3 linked regions of the Nothobranchius furzeri genome follow. The protein of the gene in region 1 purifies or fractionates together with the protein of each later gene. This does not show direct contact. Links are inferred from orthologs where the notes say so. Each region holds a gene or a part of one and is shown in the gene's direction. Other genes may lie near its edges. The genes, in order: mitogen-activated protein kinase kinase kinase kinase 4, rap2c and striatin.

The links.
Region 2: the proteins of mitogen-activated protein kinase kinase kinase kinase 4 (region 1) and rap2c purify together in Homo sapiens (affinity purification with mass spectrometry; 3 studies listed by BioGRID and IntAct, counting the BioPlex papers as one, with this or other methods). This does not show direct contact. The link is inferred for Nothobranchius furzeri from reciprocal best matches to the Homo sapiens genes MAP4K4 and RAP2C.
Region 3: the proteins of mitogen-activated protein kinase kinase kinase kinase 4 (region 1) and striatin purify together in Homo sapiens (affinity purification with mass spectrometry; 4 studies listed by BioGRID and IntAct, with this or other methods). This does not show direct contact. The link is inferred for Nothobranchius furzeri from reciprocal best matches to the Homo sapiens genes MAP4K4 and STRN.

The regions. Positions count from the first base shown.
Region 1 is NC_091754.1:49,140,078-49,143,725, reverse strand, and holds part of mitogen-activated protein kinase kinase kinase kinase 4, read left to right. Parts: intron 1-808; coding exon 809-1,222; intron 1,223-1,802; coding exon 1,803-1,955; intron 1,956-3,648.
Region 2 is NC_091741.1:84,823,845-84,828,229, reverse strand, and holds the start of rap2c (ras-related protein Rap-2c), read left to right. Parts: upstream 1-1,449; 5' UTR 1,450-2,273; coding exon 2,274-2,546; intron 2,547-2,972; coding exon 2,973-3,251; 3' UTR 3,252-3,258; exon of another isoform or gene 3,259-3,271; intron 3,272-3,342; exon of another isoform or gene 3,343-3,709; intron 3,710-3,719; 3' UTR 3,720-4,385. UniProt on the Homo sapiens protein: Small GTP-binding protein which cycles between a GDP-bound inactive and a GTP-bound active form. May play a role in cytoskeletal rearrangements and regulate cell spreading through activation of the effector TNIK.
Region 3 is NC_091752.1:1,683,372-1,687,019, reverse strand, and holds part of striatin, read left to right. Parts: intron 1-273; coding exon 274-352; intron 353-1,061; coding exon 1,062-1,232; intron 1,233-2,489; coding exon 2,490-2,625; intron 2,626-2,718; coding exon 2,719-2,881; intron 2,882-3,412; coding exon 3,413-3,523; intron 3,524-3,648. UniProt on the Homo sapiens protein: Calmodulin-binding scaffolding protein which is the center of the striatin-interacting phosphatase and kinase (STRIPAK) complexes.

The DNA.
Region 1 (3,648 bases):
GAGCTGTACTGATCCCTAACCAACGTGAACGATGAGACCCAATCAGAGCACATGGTGTCATGAATGTTTTTAGTTCTTGAGAGCCGAAGGAAAATTTCCACCACGGTGGACAATAAAGTTTTATTTTATTTTCTGTTCTAAACTTTTTGATACAAACAAAAAAAGGCATGATTTGTAATTCAGCCTTTAATAAACAAATAAGTTTTGAGGTAAGTAAAAGAGACTAAATAAGCTCTACAGACAAATTTAAGAATCAGTCAGGAACTTAAATGTTACATCGTGCTCATTTGTTTTGTTTTCATTGTGATGATTAAAGGTGCAGTATGTAAGAACAGAGTGAGAAATTTACAGTGAGAAAATCCCAAGAGTCTAATGTTTCAGTCATTTTGGAAGGAACATATTTCATATCCAGCTGGGATCGTCAGTTTTTCTCCTTTCAAAACAAAGGAAGGGGGCCGTAACTGCTGTTTAGCAGCGGTGAGAGTGGGGGTGCCGCGTCTCGTGAGCTAATACTGCAGCGCCGACAATTGCAATTTGACGACGGACAGCAAAAAGCTGCAGTGTTTTTTAAAGTGGTTGCAGTAAACAAATTTTGTCACAGGATGCCATTTTTACTTCTTTCTACATAATGCACCTTTAAAACAAATAAATGTGTCAATAATGACTCGGCAAAAGTGAAATTCCAGCCAACAAAGGAAATATGTTTTCAGAATGAGCGTAGAGGTTTAGTGCAGAAGTATAAGTGTGTTTAAACTATGGTTCAGACTTTGTGTGCAGCTTCATTAGCAGCTTGTTGTCATGGTAACAGGAGTTCAAGTGGCGGGAGCTGGAGGAGCAGCGCAAAGCTGAGCGCCTCCATAAGCGGCTGCAGCAGGAGCAGGCCTACCTGCTGTCTCTGCAGCATGAGTCCAAACAGCTGCCTGGCGACCAGACCACAGTCCCCTCAGACCAAAGCAAACCTCCACAGACCTCCACTCTGCCCCCCGCCTCCTCCCCACAAGCTCAGGTCATCCACTCTGCTAGTTCTGAGTCCTCCGGAGCCTCCCGGACTGTCCCTGCTGACAGCGGTGAATCCCAGGAGGAGGCTGATGAGACCAGCCCCAGCCAGAGCTCCCCCTCCTCCACCCCGCACCCCCCTATGAACGAACCCCCTACTGACGCTAAACCCCCCCAGGCAGAAAGTTTGGAGCCTGTCAGTCCCCCTGCTCAGCCTATCGGAGAGGTGAACGTCCTCCTCGGCTCTGTCTGCCCTGCTGCCTGCTCTTTTCAGCTTCCTCTTGCTTGCCTTCACACACGATAGAGCAGACCCTCACACCCAACACCTCAGGTGTTAGCAGACAGATCAGGACTGTCGTCGGAAGTGGAGGATCAGGTTAATGTGTGATGACTGGGCCATCGCATGTGGCCTAAACTAACACAGAGCACCCAGAGCAATGTGTCCCACCAGCAAAATGTCTCTCCTGTGTCCTTAACTCTTCCCTTTGACTCTAAATGTGAGGACGATTTGTTTTTGTTTGTCTTCATGTCTTTTTGTGTCTTTACGGCTGCCTAAAACCGGCCTAAAGCATGTTTACGTCTTTCTCACCGGTCGTCTTTTCCAGAAATAAGTTAAAGGAGCTGTAATACAGGCTAAAGGAGACGGGAACTACTGTTGTTTCAGAAGGAAAACCGTTCACTCGGATCCAAATAAACACAAATGGGACTTTTCTCTAGTTTCTGTTGTAGTTCCCTTCTGCTTGATCAGTGCTTTTAGATCCAGAGTTGTCATTTCTCATCCCGTCTTTCCCGTTCTTCAATCCCAGGCTGATGAACGCTTCCGTAAAAACATCCAGGGCTCCCCTCAGATCGCACCTCCTACAAAGCAGCCCCCCCTGCCTCCCCGCTCCTCCGAACCATTTTCCAACGGGGGCTCCTCGTCCGAGTCTTCCGCCATGCATCGACCTATGGAACCCCAGGTAACTCCTCATTCCTCACCTTTTCCTCCTCTTCCTCCATCTGGTGTGTGCTGACGTGGCTCCCTCCAGGTCTGTTTTTGTGTTTCCTGATGAATCACCACAGAGTCTTACTTTAGAAGGCAGAAATAAAGTTTACCTCCTGTTTCTAAATCCCAAATCCCTCCTGTGTGAGTCGGCACAACTGATGCCTCGGAATACTTTAGCCAGAAACCCTGAATGGGGATAACTCCTGATGGGAGCTCGGAACGACGGCGTATTCGGGTCACGAGGACACTGAGATAAGGAGGAGTCTTTGAGATTAAAGTCCAAATGTCAAGAAAGGGACTAAACTATAAAAAAATGGCATTTGGTTGAATAAGAACTGATCTTTTAACTCTTCTGCATCAGAGGACTTCCTTCAGTCCTTCACAATAAAAGTCCTTCATAATAAGAGTGTTTGGTAATCTGGTATTTTGGCCTTAATCTAGAACTCCTGTTGAGATTTCAACTATAATAATCAGATTAATTCTCGTTTAACTAGTAGCAGACTGACTTAAGCTGGGCGGACACTGTGCGACTTTTTCACTCGTAGCACTCAGCTTCAGCTCAAACTGTACGACTTCCTCGCAGGGCAGATCTCACGAGTCATGTGCTCACACTGTACGTCTGGTAGCAACACGTCGGCCCTAAAAATATGCTAAAAATAGCAGTTTTTACACAACACGTCAGTCTTTTTTGTCTTGCCTGTTGTCCTTCGGGAGTGCTGCAGGAGGACACACAGGGATTTATGGGGTTGGATGAGGAAAAGTAAATCTGTGTTTTCTGATCAGTTTAATTTGACACGAACACGACAAACACGCTTTCTTGACAATCTTTGTGAGTAAAAAAACGTGTAGAAATAAAAACGAACAGCGTGTGTTATTAGGGAAATAGTGGGCGAGCGGTGTTGATGCAGGATTGCGCATGCGCCGTGAGCGGTTCTGATACTTTTTGGGGTCGCAGCCGCTCGCAGCACCGCTTCAACAGTGCGATACCCTCACGAGGGATGAGCAAAATATCAAACACGCCAGAAGTCCGTGTGAGCTCACGGTAGCTGGTCACGTGGTGTTAATCGCCTCTCGTAACCCCCTGTACACTACACGACGCTCGGCGCAAAACTCGCCCCGATCTCGTGGATTCTCGCACGAGTGGAAAATCGGCTCAAAAAGGTGAAAAGGTCGCACAGTGTCCGCCCGGCTTTAGTTATCTCACAAAACGTTAATTTTAGACAAAAAAGAGCAAACTTATGTTTATGTCTTTAATTCCTGCGTCATTAGTTGACAGTCACCTACGCTGGTGTCTAAAGATCTGTGTGAGCCAGGGGAAACCTAAACTATCACAGGCTTATAATCCGGTTTTCACCAAGACCTCGGCGGCGCTGCCAATCAGGAGCATTTCAGACGCACAGCAGCCGTGAATTTGTTCCACACAGCAAAATCATGGCAGAAATTTGTGATGACAAACAAGAAGAAAGACTGAAGCATGTATCCACAAAGGTCTGTGGTTTATTTTCTTCAGAGGTAACAACGTATTAGTTCATTTGTTAAGCAATAAAAAAATCTGCACGTCTTTTATTTTGAAAGTTTCTAGATGTTTTACACTGCTCCCATGTGACTTCCTGCGTGACCTGATCTGGACGGCTGAGCTTGATGCGTTCTGGAAGTGAAGTGCGTAA
Region 2 (4,385 bases), on another chromosome or scaffold:
TCTGGCTTAAGTTTTTGAACAACTCTGGAGCTTTTTGCCTGCTAGTGTCAAGTTACAAATTCCAGAGCTGCAGTGTTGGCTCATGCAGAATCGACAAGCTTGCAGGCTCATAGATCTCAAACAGTAACTACATCCGTCTTTGACCATTTTTAAAGGAGAAAAACTGACCCCCCCCCCCCCCCCCCCCCAGCCGGCTGAGAAGGAAAACAATAAATCAATATAAATTCACTTCCAACAGGATTGAGACATTAGACTGTTTTGTGATTATTTCACAGTTAAACTCTTACATATTGAACTAGGGATGCACCGATACAACGTTTTGCTAAAAACCAATACGATATTGATACATCTACCACACAAAAAAAAGCTATGAATTGGATTACAGGTTTTTATTTTCGTCTCTGCTTTCAACAGGAAAAGACTGTGAGGTAGATAAAAAATGAAATATATTAATAAAAATGATCACAAAACTAAAATATTAGGCAAACAGAAATGAGAAGTTACAGTAAAGCAACTTTGAGGCAACTGCATTGGTATTGGTAAAAGGTAACCAATGCTAGGAACTGATATATCTAAACCAATACTGGTATCGATATTGACCCAATACCAATATCAGTTTCGGTGCATCCCTATATTGAACCTTTGAGACTCTGCATATATTATAAAGACTCTGTACAAATATTTCATCACAGATGAACCAGTTAGTGATTTGTTTTTCATGCGTTGGCAAAAAAAAAAAATGCAGGAAATCCTTAGGATCACAAATTAAAAAATCAAGAAACAAAAGGCGAGAGTGATCTCCAACACATGTTGTAATTTATATTTTTTGGTTATTCTTTTACAAATTTTCTCCCTATGTGCCTTACAGCAGAGATTTGTCTGAGATCAGATTTATTTTGTTTTTGATTTTTTGTTAAACCATTAGAATCAGCTGAAAAACACGATATGTTTGAAAGGATTACATTTTCCCAATCAGAGTATACCACAAAACACTGGATATGATTAATCTTTCCTGGCAAAAAAAAAACTATCATCAGAAATAAATAAACAGCAACACTACAAAGATAACTTTACAAACAAAGCTGAAAATCATGATTTCTTATTATAACTCAACATTAAAACTAATTTTCACAGTTAACTTGTGTAGAATGGTGCATTCATTGGCCAAATTCAACAAAAATAAATAAATAAACAGCTGTCTCCAGGCAGTGGCTCAGTGGTTAGATCTATTGCCTTGCAGTAAGAAGGTCCTAGGTACACTTCCCGGCCTGGGATCTTTCTGCATGGAGATTGCATGTTCTCCCTGTGCATGCGTGGGTTCTCTCCGGGTATTCTGGCTACCTCCCACATGACTGTTAGGTTGATTGGTCTGTCTAAAAATTGTCCTTAGGTGTGTGTGTGTGTGTGTGTGTGTGTGTGTGTGTGTGTGTGTGTGTGTGTGTGTGTGTGTGTGTTGCCCTGCGATGGACTCTGTCCAGGGTGTACCCCGCCTGGTTGCCCATTGACCACTGGAGATAGGCACCAGTCCCCCCACGACCCTGCATGGGCAAGCGGGTTCAGACAATGGATGGATGGAAAACAGCTGGCTCCTTTTATTTTCATACTCGGGCCTAATTCCAGTTTGTAGAGCTTTTATTTTGAAAGCATTGACGGTGCGGAAGTAGCCCGTCAGCTTCCGGAAATCAGTCGGTGGAGAAAAGATTTCCTTTATGCTGGAAAAACTGATCTACAGAGTCCAGCACACACGAGGACTGCTTAAGAACTGTAGCTAATGGACTGGTGGATTGCAACACCGAACCTGCGTTGATAGGACGCTTGGCTACCGAGGCCGCGGGCCGGGCCGGAACCAGAGCCAGGCCCGGACCCGGACACAAGAAAGCGCTGCGACACCAGCAGGCTGGTGTGTGAGCGGGGAAGGTGGTATGGTGTCTGTAGAGGAGGTTGAATGTGGATCACGGTGACTCGCTGTCTGCCTACAGACAGCGAGTTCTCCGTTGAGTCCAAGCCGACTTGCGGTGCTTCAGATCGAATGTGAAGGCTCGAAGCCTCCGGAATGGAATGGCTGGAAATTAGCCAGACTGGAGGTAGCTTCACCGCGATTTAACAAGAGTTAGAAAACATAGATGTGTGTCAGAAATGGGCGTTATGTGAATGAGCAGAGCTTGTTTCATGCCGTCTAACTGTTTCCAGCTGTTCTGTTAGATATTTTTAAGGCCTGTGCGGTGTTAATGGAGGGAGTATAGCTGCCGAGTTAGCCAGCCTCCACCTCCCCAATGAAAGAATACAAAGTTGTCGTGCTGGGGAGCGGTGGCGTCGGGAAGTCCGCGCTCACCGTCCAGTTTGTCACCGGCACTTTTATCGAGAAGTACGACCCGACCATCGAGGACTTTTACCGAAAGGAGATCGAGGTAGACTCATCGCCCTCCGTGCTGGAGATACTGGACACGGCGGGGACGGAGCAGTTCGCCTCCATGAGGGACCTGTACATCAAGAACGGGCAGGGCTTCATCCTGGTCTACAGCCTGGTCAACCAGCAGTCCTTCCAGGTAGCCCTGCTGGAAACCTCCACAGTGCAGAGAAACTTTATAGATCAACAGGAGTTATTTGGTCATAAGGGTCCAATTAAACCCGTTTCTTTAGGTGAGAGTTGTTGTAGTGACCTTATAATAACTCAAAAGAAGCTTCACACTCTTCATCAGCTTATGACAACAAATAAAATGGTTAAAAACGATGTTTTGAGACTAAAATGTCAAAAAACCCGTCAAAGCAACGAACACTAGTTTTACTTGATTTGTTCTTATTTTTCCCCACTTTGCATGTCCTGGTAACCATTTAACCTACAGCTTCGCTGTAAAATTAGTGGAAGATTGCAAGAAAACACATTCGTCTTTATATTAGTAAAGCCTGAACTACTAATTTGTTCCTTAGAGCTTTTATGCATTCCCACATGTCTGTGCTTGTGTGTTTTTCAGGATATCAGGCCGATGCGAGACCAGATCGTACGAGTGAAGCGTTTTGAGAAGGTGCCGTTGATCCTGGTCGGCAACAAAGTGGATCTGGAATCTGAGCGAGAGGTCGCCGGATCGGACGGACGGGCTCTGGCTCAAGAGTGGGGCTGCCCCTTCATTGAAACTTCTGCCAAGAGCAAGACCATGGTGGATGAGCTGTTTGCAGAAATCGTGCGACAGATGAACTACTCCACGCTGCCGGAGAAGCAGGAGCAGTGCTGTACGGCCTGCGTGGTGCAGTGAGGTCGACGTAGGTATGCACAGTTGAATCCTGACTAATTTTACAAAATGTGATGAAATGTCCTTGCTGCTTGTGTAAAAAAATGCTTCACAGGCTGAGGGGGGGAAGTGACACATGGACTGGTACTGTGGCGTTTTCATTTGCAGCGTGAAGAAATGGAGGGATTTGGCTGGAAGTGAGAATGACGAGTGGGTGGCGCTGCAAACCGTTTGTAAGCTTGTTATCATAAGATCACAGAACGTAGAGGACCCAGCTATCTGAGCAGCTCAGAACTGGAAGGAAAGAGACCCAGAAGAGTTGTCAGCTGATCCGCGGAAAGAGGAAAAAGTCACATCCTGAGAGAGAATTTAGCCTCCAAAACAGGAAGTTCAGTCTAGTAGAGATGCTGCCTTTGTTACCAGCTTCCACTGACCTTTTCAACTCATTTCATTAACTAACATTTTTTTTTTCTTCTTTTAAAATCTAAAAAGTTTGGATCACCGCAAGCATTTAGAAGAACCTGAGGACTACCTGACTCGTGTCTGACAACAACCTACCGGATCAGTGGTTTCTGACTGACAGAAGAAGACATCACTCCTATTTTTGATATTGTAACTGTTGGACGATGCTCTTGCTGCAACCTCAACAGCCTTTTTGATGAAGCGGGAAGCAGTCAGGCACACGCCTTCTTTGGAAGAACAGTCCTTTGTGAATTTCTGTCTTATTGGTTTTATTCTTTTATCCATTTTTAGATGGTTTTCTTGAAGCAGGACTGATGTGTGAGGTTGCAGCACCTTTCTAAAGCTGCTTTAATCATTACTATATTCTTTAATATTACTTGTATAATGTCTGAAATTTGGAATTTGATAAAGTATTTCATATTAATGAAGCGTTTTGACTTTTAACCATGCATACACAAACCAGTGTGCTGCCCAGGTGTACTGCTCACCTTATTCTGAAACTCCAAGTATCCTCTAACTGACACAGACCACAGCAGTATATGTTGATAGATTATTTTTTTTCTGAGATTGTGTAACTGTGGGTTAAGTACTAAAATAAAACTAGTGTAAAAGGACAGTTAAACATCTATATATTAAAAGTGACCTGAGGCAGCTGAACTTACCTGAAAAGCTCAAAGGTAAAAGTGCACCATTTAA
Region 3 (3,648 bases), on another chromosome or scaffold:
AGCAAAGATCAACCACGTGTGTGTCAGAAGACAAGCTCAGGAATGACACGTCTCGTTTTAACATAGGAAGGCTCTTCCACAGAAAGCAGTAGTGATTCCAGGTTTAACTTCAACGATTAAAGCTTTAGAGCGACTGCCTGACTGTAACTGTCGTTCGACTCCACTCAGGTGTTAAGACTGTGTTTAGTTTCCAGGCCATGGTGATGCAGGAATGTCCTTGTTTACTTAGTGTTGGGTGGGTGTGCTGATTTGTGTCCTCCTCTTCTCCTTCAGATGAGGCCAACGAAAACGAGACTTCTGGATCACTCAACAATCAGCTGTCCTGGAAACAAGGCCGGCAGCTCCTCAGACAGTGAGCTCTTTTATTTAAAGCTGACGCTTTACTCCGGACAACCTCCTGAATCTGTTAAATAGAAATACCAGCGTGTTGGCAGGCTAACGTCCTCGCTTCTTGTAGAGTTTGTGAAACGGACTGTGAGGCCAGTGGTTCTGTGAGCAGAAAGGGTAAAAGCTGTGGTGAGCAGCACCCTCACATGGACGGCTGCTGCTGTTACCACGGAGTCGGAGTCATTTCTGTGGTCCTGCTCTCCAGTCTGTCTGTTTAAATAAAGTGACGTCATCGCCAAGCACAATCACATCATACCCTAACACACTATGTTAAAGACGGCTCGGGATGGTGGCAGAAAGGAGCTGCATGCTGATTGGCTGGTTTACCTTGATGGCTCTGTGGCGCTACCCGAAGCCGTGTACCCACATACCTCAACAGGAAAGCTGTGGATCTTTGTTGGTCTAATCGTGTTTTTAAATGATGTCACACGGTGCTGACCTTGTACCGTCGGTTAGCACTCAGAGTTCGTGTTGTAAATGTCTCTCAGCTACTAGCACACCTAGCTTAGTATCCATAAAATTATCACCATGTTCAGTTGTAGGTGTATATCTAACGGCTGCTGTCTAAAAGTCATCCACTGGGTCTTGGTCAGAAACAACACGAGTTGCAGGTGTAACCAAGCGTGCGACCACCACTTCACTGCCTGCTGGTAATCTAGTTCACCCCGTTGCAGGTACCTGCAGGAGGTCGGCTACACAGACACCATCCTGGATGTGAAGTCCCAGCGGGTCCGAGCTCTGCTGGGACTTGCCGGAGACGGAGGCGGGAAAACGGGTGAACGGATGAACACGGAGCCTTCGGTCAACGGAACAGACTCAACGACTAAGGGCATCGGCACACCAGGGTAGGTGTCCTCAGCTTAAAAGTGTGTTGAAGCTGAAATGATGGTTTCTTTGTGAGAGTTATTTCTTTAGGGATGCTAGATAATGCTTTAGGTTCCGGTTGTTAGCATTAGAGCAAAGTCCGTCATTACCAGATTCATGTTTCTAGTAGAGGTAGAAAACCTTTGTTGAAGTACAGTGATCCCTCGTTTATCGCGGTAGATGCGTTCCAGACCTGGCCGCGATAGGTGAAAATCCGCGAAGTAGGGACACCATATTTACAGTATTTATTTAACAGGTACGTATTCAGTATTCAGACTTTTAAAACCCTCCCTTTACATAGAAAATTTTTTAACTTGGTTTTTTATAGTTTTATTACAAAAAGTGCATTTTTTGATGAAAAAAAACAGGAATTTCTTGATATTTCGCATAGAAAATACCGCGAATCGGCGAATTTCCCTTGAATAAGGCTCCAAAGAAAAAATCCGCGAAGTAGGGACACCATATTTACAGTATTTATTTAACAGGTACGTATTCAGTATTCAGACTTTTAAAACCCTCCCTTTACATAGAAATTTTTTTTACTTGGTTTTTTATAGTTTTATTACAAAAAGTGCATTTTTTGATGAAAAAAAAAACAGGAATTTCTTGATATTTCGCATAGAAAATACCGCGAATCGGCGAATTTCCCTTGAATAAGGCTCCAAAGAAAAAATCCGCGAAGTCGTGAATCCGCGATAAACGAACCGCGAAGTAGCGAACGATCACTGTATTTGAACATAAAAACAGGGGCGATAAGAGGCTTCGCTCTCCAAATATGCAATGAGCATAATTTGAAAGGCATATTTTCATGTTTAAAAAGCTTAAACGCGTCCACACAACTGATGTCATCCGCTGTGTCTTCTGTCTTTTTTTTATTTTATTTCTGGACACAAATTTTTCCTTTTTTGACAAAAGTCCTGCCCTGCTCAAACATTAGCTGTTAGCGCGTCCAGCTGCTACCGAGCTGCACGGCTCCATTCCAGCCACATGATTGGTCCAACGCAGAGCAGCTCTTACTACCACTTGCTACTCATCTGTTCTACAAACTGCATCGACCTGTTCTTGTGTATCTATTGACAAAAAATGATCCTGAGTTATATTTGTATCGTTTCATCGCCAGCAGAAATATTCCAGGAACATTTCAGGCCTTTCAGATGAACCTTGGTCCATTAGAAACGGGTACTGGATAAATCCTGGACACGTTGTTAATCTAACCAGTCGTAAACGTCCCCCTTCAGGAAAGCTGAGCTCTCCGACACTAGCGCCGTCCTGGAGGCCTTCAAATTCATTGAAAACGCAGCGGCTGAGTTCAGCGATGAAGATGAGGAGGAGGACAGTGAGGGGAAGGAGAGGACTAATGTGGAATCCAGGACTGTAAGACACTCGTCTCCCCTCGCCCTTCTGAACTGACACAATCGTGCCCCCCCCCCCCCCCCCAAAAAAAAAATCTTTTCTTATCATTTTTAGATCATGAGGAAGAAACCTCCTTCGTCATCATCACCAGCCAGTATGGACACCAGTGAGGACCCTGACGCCGAGGAGGCGCTGAAAGGCTTTGACTTCCTGTCCAGCCCCGACGAGACGGACACCTCGTCAGAGTCCAGAGGGACTGGAGACGGCACAGACTGGGGTGAGTCTAAATGTCTTGATGTACTATTTATTTATTATGGATGCAGTTAGATTATTTAGCTCCTCTTGGACGATAAGTTCAGATACTTCATAAAATGATCTTAAGATGTTGTATTCTTGTTTTTGGAGCCGATCATGGAGAAGTCGTCATTCATTTTTCATGCTGTGGTCATAAATCACGACACCAGGAGCGTTTAACTCATAGTTTGTCTGTTTGTCCCCATATCCTGTTTGTGTCCACAATGTGTCTCCTGCCTCGTGTCTCCTCTGACCAAACCCCGACCTGTTCAGGTGTTTAAAATTTAAACAACTTAATTTGTCTCTCGACACCGACGCGTATGGAGAGAGAAGACACCTGCCGGCTCCGCTCCCAGTATTTAAGAACACTTTTACTCCTCTGGAGGGTTTGAGAGCAGCGCGACGTCCAGAGGAGTAAAACCCCTGAGAGGTGTCTGCTCTGCCAGGCCCATCTGTTCTCGACCGGGGCGCTTCCTCAACAGCCTCTCGGTCTGGTTTTCTCCCCCTTGTTTAGAAAAGGACAAGCAAGGTCCCATTTCTGAGACCTGGGACGTGGACCCGGTCCTGATAACCGAACTCAAGGAGCAGTACAAAAAGGAGCGCAAGGGGAAAAAGGGGGTGAAGAGTAAGTCCTGTCAGGCACTGCCGCCTCCCTCCCTCCCTCTCCTCTCTTTACAGAGTCTGACTTTCCAGCCTAAAAGCCTCAAACCAAAAGCAAAGCCTCTTCATCGTTCTTCTCTCTCTCTAGCT